Drosophila melanogaster: one gene and its partner. Changing the gene in region 1 together with any one later gene gives a genetic interaction. Each region holds a gene or a part of one and is shown on either strand. Other genes may lie near its edges.

The links.
Region 2: of mrj (region 1) and Hrb98DE, changing one suppresses a phenotype caused by changing the other (phenotypic suppression), as found in Drosophila melanogaster (one study listed by BioGRID).

Annotation. Positions count from the first base shown.
Region 1 is NT_033778.4:16,218,768-16,223,974, forward strand, and holds the start of mrj (mrj), read right to left. Parts: upstream 3,027-5,207; 5' UTR 2,903-3,026; exon of another isoform or gene 2,869-2,902; intron 2,383-2,868; 5' UTR 2,356-2,382; intron 1,357-2,355; exon of another isoform or gene 1,285-1,356; intron 943-1,284; exon of another isoform or gene 871-942; intron 679-870; exon of another isoform or gene 607-678; intron 1-606. Other genes in the region: CG7798 (uncharacterized protein), read right to left, coding at 3,414-3,860; CG15706 (uncharacterized protein), read right to left, coding at 4,530-5,207.
Region 2 is NT_033777.3:28,598,384-28,606,277, forward strand, and holds Hrb98DE (heterogeneous nuclear ribonucleoprotein at 98DE), read left to right. Parts: upstream 1-2,023; 5' UTR 2,024-2,134; coding exon 2,135-2,185; intron 2,186-2,322; coding exon 2,323-2,812; intron 2,813-3,145; exon of another isoform or gene 3,146-3,285; intron 3,286-3,314; exon of another isoform or gene 3,315-3,464; intron 3,465-3,493; exon of another isoform or gene 3,494-3,633; intron 3,634-3,763; exon of another isoform or gene 3,764-3,903; intron 3,904-3,956; exon of another isoform or gene 3,957-4,106; intron 4,107-4,172; exon of another isoform or gene 4,173-4,312; intron 4,313-4,388; coding exon 4,389-4,564; intron 4,565-4,628; coding exon 4,629-4,935; intron 4,936-4,987; exon of another isoform or gene 4,988-5,139; intron 5,140-5,224; coding exon 5,225-5,298; 3' UTR 5,299-5,315; intron 5,316-5,677; exon of another isoform or gene 5,678-6,712; intron 6,713-7,078; 3' UTR 7,079-7,394; downstream 7,395-7,894. Other genes in the region: Noa36, read right to left, coding at 1-254, 347-838; CG9986 (uncharacterized protein), read left to right, coding at 7,785-7,894. UniProt on the Drosophila melanogaster protein: This protein is a component of ribonucleosomes.

The DNA of each region.
Region 1 (5,207 bases):
TAGAAACTATAAAAAATGGCAATTTGTACGCTTTGCCTTTTTCTCCGCTTCTTGCTCAATCGTATGTCTCACACGCGCTTCTAATGTCTGGATACGATACATAAGCTCGTTCAAGATGATGGCATATAAAAAGCTACACGAGTTTTTCAATTGACTTGGAAAGTGGCAAGCGACTGCCAGCATGCATCAAATGGATCGAGCCCCAGCGAAAAGTGGGCGTGATGGGCAACAACAATGGCTCACTGTTTTTTGGCTCTCGGCTTTGCCACACTTTTGATGAATTAGCCGTTTTTTTTCCATCGAGTGTCGGGGCTTGGAAAATTGAGTTGCAGCTGCAGCTTATGATGGAAGTGGTTGGCAGGGAGCGAGGAAGTTCGTTGAGCCGGATCATACCCAGCTGAGACTCATTAAAACACCACTTGAACCACGATTCGTGTTACACCGCCTCTAAGTGCAGGTCAATAAGTGGAGTTGTTGTCTGATTTTCAAGTCCAAGCCAGTTTATGCCTTTGTGCGATGCTATGGGAGAGAAATGGCTGGAAGAGCTTGATTGATGGGGATTCTCAAGCAGGGTAATTGATTTACTTATAAATAAAATAAAAATACTTCCCATACCGGGAATCGAACCCGGGCCTTCTGGGTGAAAGCCAGATATCCTAGCCACTAGACCATATGGGATATGTTCTACTTTCTTCCAAGTTATATAAACGTTTTTGTAGTTTTTCCTTGTTAAAAATGGTGCACGTACTTTATAAGGAATTTTATGCCTTGTTCATTTTTAAATTTATAAATAGAAAATATACAGTGGTGACTTTAAAACATGTCCTAAGAGGCAGACTAAGGACACACTTTAGTCACCTTCCAGACAAGTCCCATATTGTCTAGTGGTTAGGATATCCGGCTCTCACCCGGAAGGCCCGGGTTCGATTCCCGGTATGGGAAACTTTTTTGCCTAATTTCGCTTTTTTTTTATTTGTTACCATCAGAGGGTTAATAATTTTGGGCTTTGTTAAAGGGGTTGACTGACCATTATACAGAGGTGGTCAAAAGTATTTCCACAACGAGCTTTTTTTTTCAATTAGTTGACAATGGTTATTAGTTGACAATTGAAAAAAAAAGCTCGTTGTTCAAATACTTTTGACCACCTCTGTATATGTTTTCATTCCATATCTTAATTTTCTTGTATTAATAGTTTTTCCTGGGTTAAGCAAAATAAACAAATAAACACAAGGCATTCATTCATGTTGGCGAACAAAACGAGTCTTTGCTACAACACAGATAGCCTCCCATATGGTCTAGTGGCTAGGATATCTGGCTTTCACCCAGAAGGCCCGGGTTCGATTCCCGGTATGGGAAGAGTACTTTTTTTTTACTGCTTAAAATAATTGATAATTGATTTTCCACATATATTGAGCAGTCTTCAAGTCTATTGCTTTCGGTAATTGTATGTATTTATGTTTGTTTTTGCTTTTCTAGTGTGCTTTATTTCTTTGCAATTGCCTAGCGCCACCAATTGATGCCAATCGGACACGCTACGAAATAATTCGAGACTTTTTTATGGCCGTTGCTTTTCGTTGCCCCAAGTTGTCAATTGTTGATGTTTGTGCTTATGTAGAAAGAAATAAGAGAAAAGAAAAAGGAGGGAAAACGGTTTTGTTAACGACGGGCAAAAGCTCAAAGAGCCAGAGTACTTAACTTTTGTTAAACCGAAAATTAGGCATGCCCAGAATTGCAACATGTACTGGAAGCAACAGCAACAACGACAATAGCCTGCCGCAAAACGTGTGGCAAGCGAATAGCAGCAACAATAAAACGGGCACAATGCCTTGACTGAGTTTTGAACGTTTTTTTTAGTTTCTTTTTTTTGTAGTAGATACGGAAAATTGCTTTTTCATTGTTGCAGTAACCAATTTTTGGCTGTTATTGTTGTTATTTACAAGCTGACTTGGCAAACGGAAAATCAATTTTTAATTGCAACAAATTTGAGAGAGCTGCGGGACAGGCAAATTGCGAGTTGGCCAAAAAAGGCAAATTAAAGTAAGCGTTAACGAAAAACAATTGGCATTTTGAGTCAGAAACGGGTTTAACGGTATCGCAGAGGCAGCTGCAGTATCTTTTGAGGAAACACGCCGCCACATGTCAAAGGGGGACAGCAACAATATGTCAAAATCTCGATGAGCAGAGCAATGAACCGTTGTAATTAGCATACGTCCGCGTGCGTGCGTGTAACAGAGAGCACAATAGAGGCACTTTCGATTATTGAACTTGTTAAATTCCGCATTTCTCTGTTTGCGCTCGGTGCTTAGATTGTTTATTATTTGGTATTACGCTTATTCTTTTGCTTTGGTTGCTTACCTGGAAATGATCTCTTTCCTTTGGTGCCTAACCGAAAAACAAGCGAACAATTAATTTCATTAGAAGTATCTAACAAATGCGAATCCAACATGAGATATAGTAAAACAAGAAATAAGTGTGAGCAAATAAGATAAGCAACGCCGCGTGGGGAAAGAGAGAGAGAGAGAGCTGTTGGTGAGAGCGAGAACGACGCGAGTTGTTGGCGGAAACTCCTGTCGCAGCAAGCAGCAGCAACAACAACTACAGAACGGCGACAATTACGGCGCTTTATTGATTTTTTACAAAACAACTATTCGAACACGAAGCGTGCCGTTTGCATTTGAAACTCGGTTTTCAGCTTATATCGAGATTATTTAATGCACAACAAAACGGAGCACAAAAGAATTTCGCACACCAGCACAAGTTTTAAGCACTCACACACACACACATACGAAGCGACTTCAATGTCAACTTCACTTTTTGTATTTTTATCTACTGCTTCGCTATTTTTGGTTTTCTTTAGCAGTATTTAGTACTTTGAATTTAGTATTTAACTGCACTTTATTACCCGTCAGTCTGCACGCATCCGTGCGCTCGTTGGTCGAGAAACAAATTATTCAACCGCCACTTTGCTTTTGGCCAAGCGCGCTTTTCCCACAGCTGTTTTACTTAAGCGATAAAACGCAGCGACAACTATCAGTCGCCTGGCTATCGATTTGACCCAGGGAGGGGAGCAACTAGCTCTGCCAATCGAACTGGTTCCGAGCCGAAATTCAAAAATGTCATCGGTAAGATAACGTGTTTAGCTACATCCCTTTGGACATGTTTTCTACATGTTGACTTACATTTTACATTATATTTAATTTTATTAGCTTGGCGGTTAGTTTTGAATATAAATTGAAGGTAAAAAGGTATAGACCAGTTTTTTCTATTCTTGTTTACCAGATGATATATCGCACCACAATTGTTCGCTCTTTTAATGCTCATACTCATAAAATATATTGCTCTTTAATATTATAATATTTTATTCTGCATTTAGGTTCTTAAGTTTCGTATTTTTTTTAGCTTTTTACCGATGCTCAACCCGAATTTCTGTGTCGCCGCCGGAAGCAGTGATTCACATTGGGCTTGACACCCTGACATCGATTGTTCCAAGCCACCCAGGCGGAGAATCCTTGCTGTTTCCTGATGTACTTCGCACAGGCAATGGAATACCGGATATCGTCGCTCAACAGCAGGCGGCAGGGCAAGCGACACAGATCGTTGGATGGACGACCATCCGCCGGCTTGCACCAGTAACGATCGTTGATCTGGAAGAGACCCCAGTCCACGGATCCATCAACGTTCGAGGGATTGATGGCTTTTGTGTTGAACGAGCTCTCGCCCTCCACGAGGCACAGCCAATCGGGTAGCTCGTTGTAAGCCATTCCGTATCGATACAGCTGCCGGGCCAAACTGCATCTGCCCACCTGGCGGCCAGTGGCCAGTGATAGCGTTAAGAGCACCAGCAGCCAAATGGGCCACATCTTCCAGAAACAATGCAGGCTTCTAATGGTAACTCGTGGCTTATATAGCCATCCAGTTTGCTGCGAGATTCGGAGCACAACTTGGCCCAATCTAATTTTTACAAGCACTCATTTGGACAGCTCTGAAGTGTGGCCCACACTCGAGCATAAATTATCAACACTAGGCGACAAAGATTGGAAGTCATAACCATCTCCAATTCTTTTATTTTGTTGGAGCTATTTCGGAAAGGCTATTGCTCTGAGAAATCAGTAGATATATGGTTATTTTAGGGTGTAGAACTAAAACTACAATTCTCTAACTTAACTTAAATCCCAAACATGCAGATGAGTGTCAGACTTTCAATTCTCGATCATTGAAACAGGCCGATCGGGCCAGTTTCGTTAATATATGGAGTGGGAATCGCTCGCCATTTAAGCGAGGCATCTGCCTGGCCCCAGATTCACTTTCAATGGGTTCTTTTGTGCGATGCTCAGGTATTATATAACCATGTTGACAGCTGGAGGGGCCGGAGCACTTGAGATCGCGTGTGCGCCAACAATCGAACAAAAACCCCGAGAGAGCAAAGTCATTCAACTTTTGGACAACTTGTCGTTCTTTCTTTGTTTTTGTTTAACGTAAAAAATTAGTACAAAAATATGCAATAAAAATGGCATGTGTTGATACTATGTTTATCCCAAACGAATCTCCTCCATTTCCTGAGCGGGCGGCTGCTTGATCTCCTGTTCCGTTGGCGGCACATATCCCTGTCTCGGCAGGAATTGCCTCTTCCTGGATGTGGGACGTATAACGATGTGTGCTACGCATGTGCAAATGGCGGCTATGGCAAAGTATTTGAAGCTCTCTCGTCCGCCCAGGCTTTTGAACATAAGTCCGCCGATTAGGGATCCGATGGAGAAGCCAAGTCCATCGTCCATGCCGGCCATCAATCCTTGAACGGTGGCCGATGTTCCCGGAGGAGCCACCGCCGAGGCGTAGGCCACAATGCACGTATAGCACAGAGCATAGGTAATGCCCTGGAAAAAGAGCTCCACGCCCACCAGATACCAGGGATTGGGAATCCAGGCGATCAGCGACAGTCGCACAGCGTAGAAGAAAAAGCACATGCTCATGCAATGAACATAGCCCAGTTTTTTGATAATCTTTCCGCTGTAGAAGAAAAAGGGCACCTCGCCGGCCAGACACTCGGCGGCCACCACTAGACCTTCGATCAACTTGATCTGATGCATGTAACCAGTGGCCTCGGCCACCTGCTCCAAGTGCCAGAACATAAAGTATATGATGAAGGAGTCAATGATGCCAGCCATTGTGGCGAAGAACAGAAAGACCAGAATGGGTGGCTTGCGCAC
Region 2 (7,894 bases), on another chromosome or scaffold:
CCGTATCCCTCCTCGTCGTCGCTGTTGCCTCCTTGTTGCTGTCGCCCGAATTTGTGCGACCGCGTGGACATGCTGAGGTCCTTGGTCACCGAGGTATCGTAGTTGCACTTGGGGCATGGAATTGGCTTGTTCTTGTCGTACTTGAAGCCCTTGCGACGCACGTGATCCTCGCAGTAACAGGTCTTGCAGCGCAGGCAGGAGTATTGACCCAGCTTGTTGCACGATTGACACTTGTAGTTCTCCGACTCCAGCACCTGGAACCGAATGGATTGCATTACCAAAAGGCGTCATATGAATCTCAAAATGAAGTTCGGAACAAGCTTAATGAGTATTTTTGGTTACCCACCTGACAGCTGGCCTGGTGCTCGAACTGATCGTCCTCGCACAGGAATCCGTTGCAGAAGGAGCACTTGAAGATGCGCCCACCGTGCTCCCAGACACCGCGTTCGCACTCCAGGCAGGTCGCATTCTGCAGCGGACACGTGCAGGCGTGGTTTTGGAGACACTTGCGTCCGTGGCAAACCCAAGCCTCGCAGAAGTCGCAGATGGCGCCCACCATTCCGAGGCCCGTGGTGTAGACGCCCGGATGTTTGACCACGCAGTCGCCGGTCTTTAGCATGCACTTGATTTTCCCGCACTGGGCGCAAATGGGTAATCTCTGAATGCTCTGGCAGAAATAGCAGAAGGCTCTCGACTTCTGCTTCTTCTCGCACTTGTCGCACTCCATTGGTGCATTGCAGGGCAAATCCGCAAGAGGCACCTCTCTGCTGCGGATCTCCTTGAGGCGAAGCTTCTGCTTCTCGGCCTTCTTACGCTGCCCAGTCTTCTTTTTCGGCATTTTTGAAATCAAGGAATTAGAAAACTTATTTCCTTACGTGTGCGGCAGTGTGGCTGCTGCGGGTGCGCCGAAAAATACCACAAAAAGCTTTCGAATATTCCGCTAAATATGTAGCTACATCTTGAAAATAGCTACAAAAAATGCGTTAAATTAGCATCGTGGAGTTAGCGGCGACGGCGGAGCCGAGTAATTTAACACATCATTTTTCTGGCCAGCGTGCATTTTGGAATATGCTCTGCGAGTGGAGATATTCCTTGAAAAGTAGCTAGCCGATTTTTTTATTGCATATTTTATATACTTTCTGAGTCCTATAAACTTTAGTCGTACATAGATAGTTAGATCTCTTAAATAGTTCGATTTATTAAGATTTTTGCATTTGTATTTTTTTTGGAATTTACCTATAAATAGCGAAAAATTAAATAAATAAATAAGATTCTCATTTTCCATATTTCACCGTTCTGCCATAGACGCTAATTTGACCCACATAGATTTTCAGTGGAAACAAGTGGAAGCAACAACCGATTAGTGTAACCAAATACCTTTGCTTTTATTTAGGTCTAGTATTTTTGTAAGGTCTGTCTACGGCTTTCCTTTCCACAGGAAAATATATTTTCAGTTTTAGGGAAGGGGTGCTACAGTGAGCGTCTTTCGTTCCCAGTGTCGTTATTTCTATAGTATTGCTGAGATATATATCAGAGCAGTAAAGATATTTAAATATAAGTTCTTCGAAATGGGTGGTCACGACAACTGGAACAATGGTCAAAATGAGGAGCAAGATGTAAGTAGCACACAAAACCGCGACTGCACAGGGAAAAAACTCAGTTCGGCCATAATCCCAATATATATATATTTTGGTGATCAACGCGCTTTTACCCATGCGGCAACTAAAGTTGATGTGCTAAAGCATTTCGTTGCGGTTTTGTTACTTAAGACTAAGACTAACAGTAGTTGTATCTTAATAGTGCTAGGGAGTACGATGCTGTCGGTATTGGTTTCTCTTTTAGCTTTTTAGTGCAAAAGGCGTGATCAAGAATACACATGTTACACACATTTTTTAAGGCATGGTGAAAAGAAACAGGGCAGATATTGTAAAAGTATTGTATTGACAAGGGTGTCTGTCAACTTATCGTTATCGTTCTAGGTAGTATCGAATAGGTGCTGGGTTTAATCGGGTTGTAGAAACGGTCACACTGTATTCAGTTTTTTCATTCGTCTCGTGTGTCAGGGGACTTTCTCCATTTGCAATAGCAAAAAAAATAGTTAGATTAGAAGTTGTTCAACTTTTGCATTAGTAAAATGGTGAACTCGAACCAGAACCAGAACGGCAACTCCAATGGCCATGATGATGTAAGTAGTGGATATTAAGGGTCTAGAAATTTCCTGTAAGCTGGTGTCTCGCCTTGCCGGTCGCCATTTTGAAAATTACGCATGTGTCTCAAGGGCGGAAAGTGAGGTTATGGCCATTGATAAAATCAATAATTTAGGACTTTCCTCAGGACTCCATCACCGAGCCGGAGCATATGCGCAAGCTGTTCATCGGTGGCTTGGACTACCGTACCACCGACGAGAACCTAAAGGCTCACTTCGAGAAATGGGGCAACATCGTGGACGTGGTGGTCATGAAGGATCCGCGCACAAAGCGTTCCCGCGGATTCGGATTCATCACCTATTCCCACTCGAGCATGATTGATGAGGCCCAAAAGTCGCGTCCCCACAAGATCGACGGTCGAGTGGTGGAGCCCAAGCGCGCCGTTCCCCGTCAGGACATTGATTCCCCGAATGCCGGAGCCACCGTAAAGAAACTCTTTGTTGGCGCCCTCAAGGACGACCATGATGAGCAGAGCATCCGCGACTACTTCCAGCACTTTGGCAACATCGTCGACATCAACATAGTCATTGACAAGGAGACTGGCAAGAAACGCGGATTCGCCTTCGTCGAGTTCGACGACTACGATCCCGTGGACAAAGTTGTGTGTAAGTACAACGCTTTTCCTAATCTAGACAATATCAAATATCCTTTAAGAATGATTTATCTCTTCGAGAGTAGACTGTTAGGAAAATCACATTGCCATGTTCTTAGATTTATACAATACAGATTGAATTATCTGCACAGGAAACGAATATTAACCCCATTTGTGTACGCGGCGTTCGTGTAGAAAAAAAGTATGACATGCAACCACCCCTAATCTATATGCTCAATCAGCTCTGGCACATTGTAGGGCTTCTCGTAAATGTCCATCAGCGTCGGATAAACGAATGCGCACTATAAGCAAGAAATTTCGATAAAATTGCAATTATTACAATATATCCACAGTCCCAGCTCCGCATAGCAATGTTCGATGTGCTTGTGCGGCGTTTGTGACTGTAAGAATAAATTCCAGCCAGTATTATATCATTGTTGTTGGTGCTCTTCGTGCATCAACGATGAAAGAGTATATGGCACACTATAGCTTGAATCTAAAACTGTTTCCTAATATCACAGTACTGACAAATTAACTGGTTTGAAACCATCACCAGGGTAGTTTTTTTTTAAACGCTGTGAGATGAATTAAAGCGTCGGCTAAGCTATGTTATGCGAATGTAAGCATTGCGCCTATTCAGTGTAACACGCAGCCTCGTTACAATAGTTCAATTAATTGCTATTATGGAAATCGATACACAGTCCCAGCTCCGCATAGCAATGTTCGATGTGCTCATGCGGCGTTTGTGACTGTAAGATAAAAGACCCAGCCCATATTATATCGTGTTGTTGGCGCTGTTCGTGCATCAACGATGAAAGAGTATAAGGCACAATATCACATTGAATTACCAACTATATGAAAAGAATGAGTATCTAAATGCCTTCGCTTACTTGAATATACTGACAAATCCACAGAATGGTGAATGTTATTTAGCGTGAATATATCTCCTAAAATTAGCTACGATTCCACAGTCCCAGCTCCGCACAGCAATGTTCGATGTGCTCGTGCGGCGTTTGTGACTGTTAGAATAAATTCCAGCCAGTATTATATCATTGTTGTTGGTGCTCTTCGTGCATCAACGATGAAAGAGTATAAGGCACACCTTGATTATCGAACCGATTAAACAGAAAGTTTCTAGATCAGCCCCTTCGTGGACGTCACAGTACTGACAAATTGACGGGCTTGAAAAAGTCGCCTGTATGGTTTTTATTTAAACGCTGTGAGATTAATTTAAGCGTCGGCTAAGCTATGTGATGCGAATGTATATTATAAATCAATTCTGTGTAACACGCAGCCTCGTTACAACTGCAAATCAAATGCACCGAAATGGTGAATGTGTACTATCCGATATCGATCCTAATTTTAGCTAAAATTCCACAGTCCCAGCTCCGCATAGCAATGTTCGATGTGCTCGTGCGGCGTTTGTGACTGTAAGATGAAATCCCAGCCAGTATTATATTGTTGTTGTTGGTGGTGTTTGTGCACCAATGATGAAAGAGTATATGGCACACTATCCTCCGGATGCACCACATAGGGAAGTTCATTTTCGAATACCACTAATAGCATGCTTTCCCTCTTTATTTTTGCAGTGCAAAAGCAGCATCAGCTGAATGGCAAAATGGTGGACGTAAAGAAGGCCTTGCCCAAGCAGAATGACCAACAGGGAGGTGGCGGAGGACGCGGTGGTCCGGGTGGTCGTGCCGGTGGAAACCGCGGAAACATGGGCGGTGGAAACTACGGCAACCAGAATGGTGGCGGCAACTGGGTAAGAACTTATTGATCGCCATCAATTCGATTTGAGGCTTATTACTGGTTAATTGGCATTGCAGAACAACGGTGGCAACAACTGGGGCAACAACCGCGGGGGTAACGACAACTGGGGCAACAACAGCTTCGGTGGTGGCGGCGGCGGCGGTGGTGGTTATGGCGGTGGCAACAACAGCTGGGGCAATAACAATCCGTGGGACAATGGCAATGGAGGCGGCAACTTTGGAGGCGGCGGCAACAATTGGAACAATGGTGGCAATGATTTTGGAGGCTACCAGCAGAACTATGGCGGCGGTCCGCAGCGAGGTGGCGGCAACTTCAACAACAATCGCATGCAGCCCTACCAAGGAGGTGGTGGATTCAAAGCAGGTGAGCAACAGCACGTCTGTTGATGCATTACTGATAACAACTAGATAGCAAGACACAGTACCCTGACACCTAACTGTTAGAGCGTCGATAGAGTTTGGCAGTTAGCTTATTAAACGCTGTGAGATCAACTGACGATGGCCTTCGCTATGTTATGCGTATGTAAGATAATCCCAGTACGACGTAACACGCAGCCACGTTACAGTTTTTTCATGAACAGTCACCACCAGTATAGAAACTAGACTAGAAAGACGATTGGATATGTTCCTAACGATCCTGGGTTTTCTTTTAGGCGGTGGCAATCAAGGCAACTATGGCGGAAACAATCAGGGCTTCAATAACGGTGGCAACAACCGCAGATATTGAGAGAGATTCCGGACGAGGTGAGACATCCAAATAACCACTACTAACACAAAAATATACATAGTCCAAGGCGAATTCAGGCCATAACTAACCGCTTATCTATCCCGTATGACCATTAATCTTTCGCTTGATTTGACAAACATATGTTGTGTGTTTTTTTTTTTTTATAATAGCGCCCTTATCGGCATTTTTGGTAGTTTATAAAGCATATTGAGACTAAAAAGCAAAACGGCTGAGACAGTCCGACCCACCTTACTCAACAAACTTATATACGTATTTACACTTTTAAGTATTTAGAGAACAAAAACCCATCAACCAATTAAGAACTCCTTTTCATACCAATTGTTTTAAATAACGTTTCTCATTTATCGACATTTTATAGGTGATAAAGTAAAAGTCGCTCAGTATAATCCCAAAATTCAAAGTCAAGTAAACGATACGCAATTCAATGATCAATATGATGAAGTATGAACGCACGTTCATAGTCCTAAGAAGTTTTCCGAGCACCACAAACCAAACATTACAGATTGATTGATCAGGATCAGTGCAGTGCAGTGAAGTCGTAAGAAGTTTGGTTCAGTCTTGGATTAGAACAGAAAGAGAGATCAGTACCAAGCAAGACCAGACCAATACAGAGTGCAGTGCAGTGCAGAGCAGTGTGTGAGCTAAACAGAAGAAACACAGCAAGTGGCAGTACACGTACACAGAAGGTGACCAGGATTCCATTCAATTTGTCTTTGCAAGCGATGATAAATTGAATGTCAAGAGGCGCATCGAAAACTATCCAATACCCACAGAATTGTAATCTATAATTTGCAACCCATATGTAGCAGCCCATATAAGTAACATTGTAATTAGATCCACAAAGCCGACGACAGGCCAAACATTTGTATCTCCACCACACGAGCAACCAACCAACCAACCTACTTAAAACAACCAGTCATAAACGAATCAGCTATGTAAAACTTCAAGGCGGCAGCCGAGAGATATGTTTCTTTGGTTGCAGACAGCTCTCCAGTCCATCGGCTGCCGGCAACTTTTGATAATCAGAGCAGAAAACACAAAATATATAAAAACATGTATTACATTTTACAACTTTACTAGGCTAAGTTCTCATAGAATTAAATCGAGTAGAGCGTGCGGAGCGACTTCTGCATCCATCCGCACGCTACCCTAGTCTTAATAATTTTACTATTCAAGTTCTAAGCGAACCTGACCGTGTGTGGAGGAATCTAGATACTTAGATTTTTGAATAAGTGTCGACATGGATATAACCTCTTCCGCTGCTTAGATGTAACCGATCAACAAACAACCTTTATTGTAATTTATACCTTTTAGCAAGCAGTCTGTCTGAGGAGTCAGCGCAATTATACTTAACAAAATTTACATTTTAATGTAGCTAAAAAATACAAGATGCAAAAAAAAAAAATAAGCAAGTGTCCCGCAATTGATGTAAACTCTGACGAAAGAACAAAAAGTATATAGCTAAGCCAAAGCCTCGTAGTTTTCTATATTTCTGTAGCAGCATCAGCAAAAGGATCTCGATCAGAATGAGAGTGTATTGCAGAGGTAACAAGGTGCAGCAAGTCTGACCAGGTCCAAAAGCCAGCCAAGAATATGTACTTTACTATAGCATTTGTTGTGGGCGGGCCATTAACGTCGTTCGAGAGTTCTCCTTTCACTCGCTTAACAGGAATCATTTTCCCCTTTTATTTGATTTGCCCCCCGCCTGCTGTACCATGTCATTTACAACCATGTATATTATTGTAATTTCTGTTGCCAGTTGGCTGCGAAAAGTATGCGAAGCGCTGAAAGACTGCCGCCGCGCTACTGAATGCAGCCACGGAAGGTGCCCGCGTTTGCTAGCAACTCCGGTCGCTGGGTTTCGGTTCCCTCTGGGTAAGTAATCCTCCGCAGATCCCAAATCCGGAAAAAGTTGTAACTTTCAGGTGGTCTGAATCGGCTCGTCGCACCTGAGGATGGAATGGATGTTGAACGGTTTCCCCTCTGCACCATCGTAAATATACGACTTTTATTTATTACTTCATTTTATTTTCATTATTACTATCTTTGAATAAAGAAATTTCAGAATACCAAACAAAATGATTTTCGTTTCATTTTGAATTAAAATTTCACCAGTGGGGGAAAATAACGGTATTTGAACAATAATGGCGTTGCGAATGTAACGTGATTGGCGTAAAATCGCAAATTCCGTTTTATATAGTTGAATGATTTTCAAAGCATTCATTTTGTTGCATTTAATGTTAAATTTTAATTAGTCCACTGAAAATAATAAATCATGATAAATGAGCACTGTGTCTGTCACTTTGTTGTTGGTTTGAGTCTTCTCTAAGTGGTGAATAAGTTTTCTGCGATATATTTAAGCGGTCGCAATACGGTCATACTAATTGCATTTCTTTTAGGCAGGGGGCGTTAACTTGCGAATTAATGACTATAACTAACTAAAACACCGACTAAGGACCTCTGAAATGGACTCTACTGCCACTCGCACGCTGCCCTTTGTGTACAAGTATAAAAATCATAAAGGCCAAGACTGCGAATCCCGGCTGGACATCACTTTTCCCTTTGACCAGGAAAA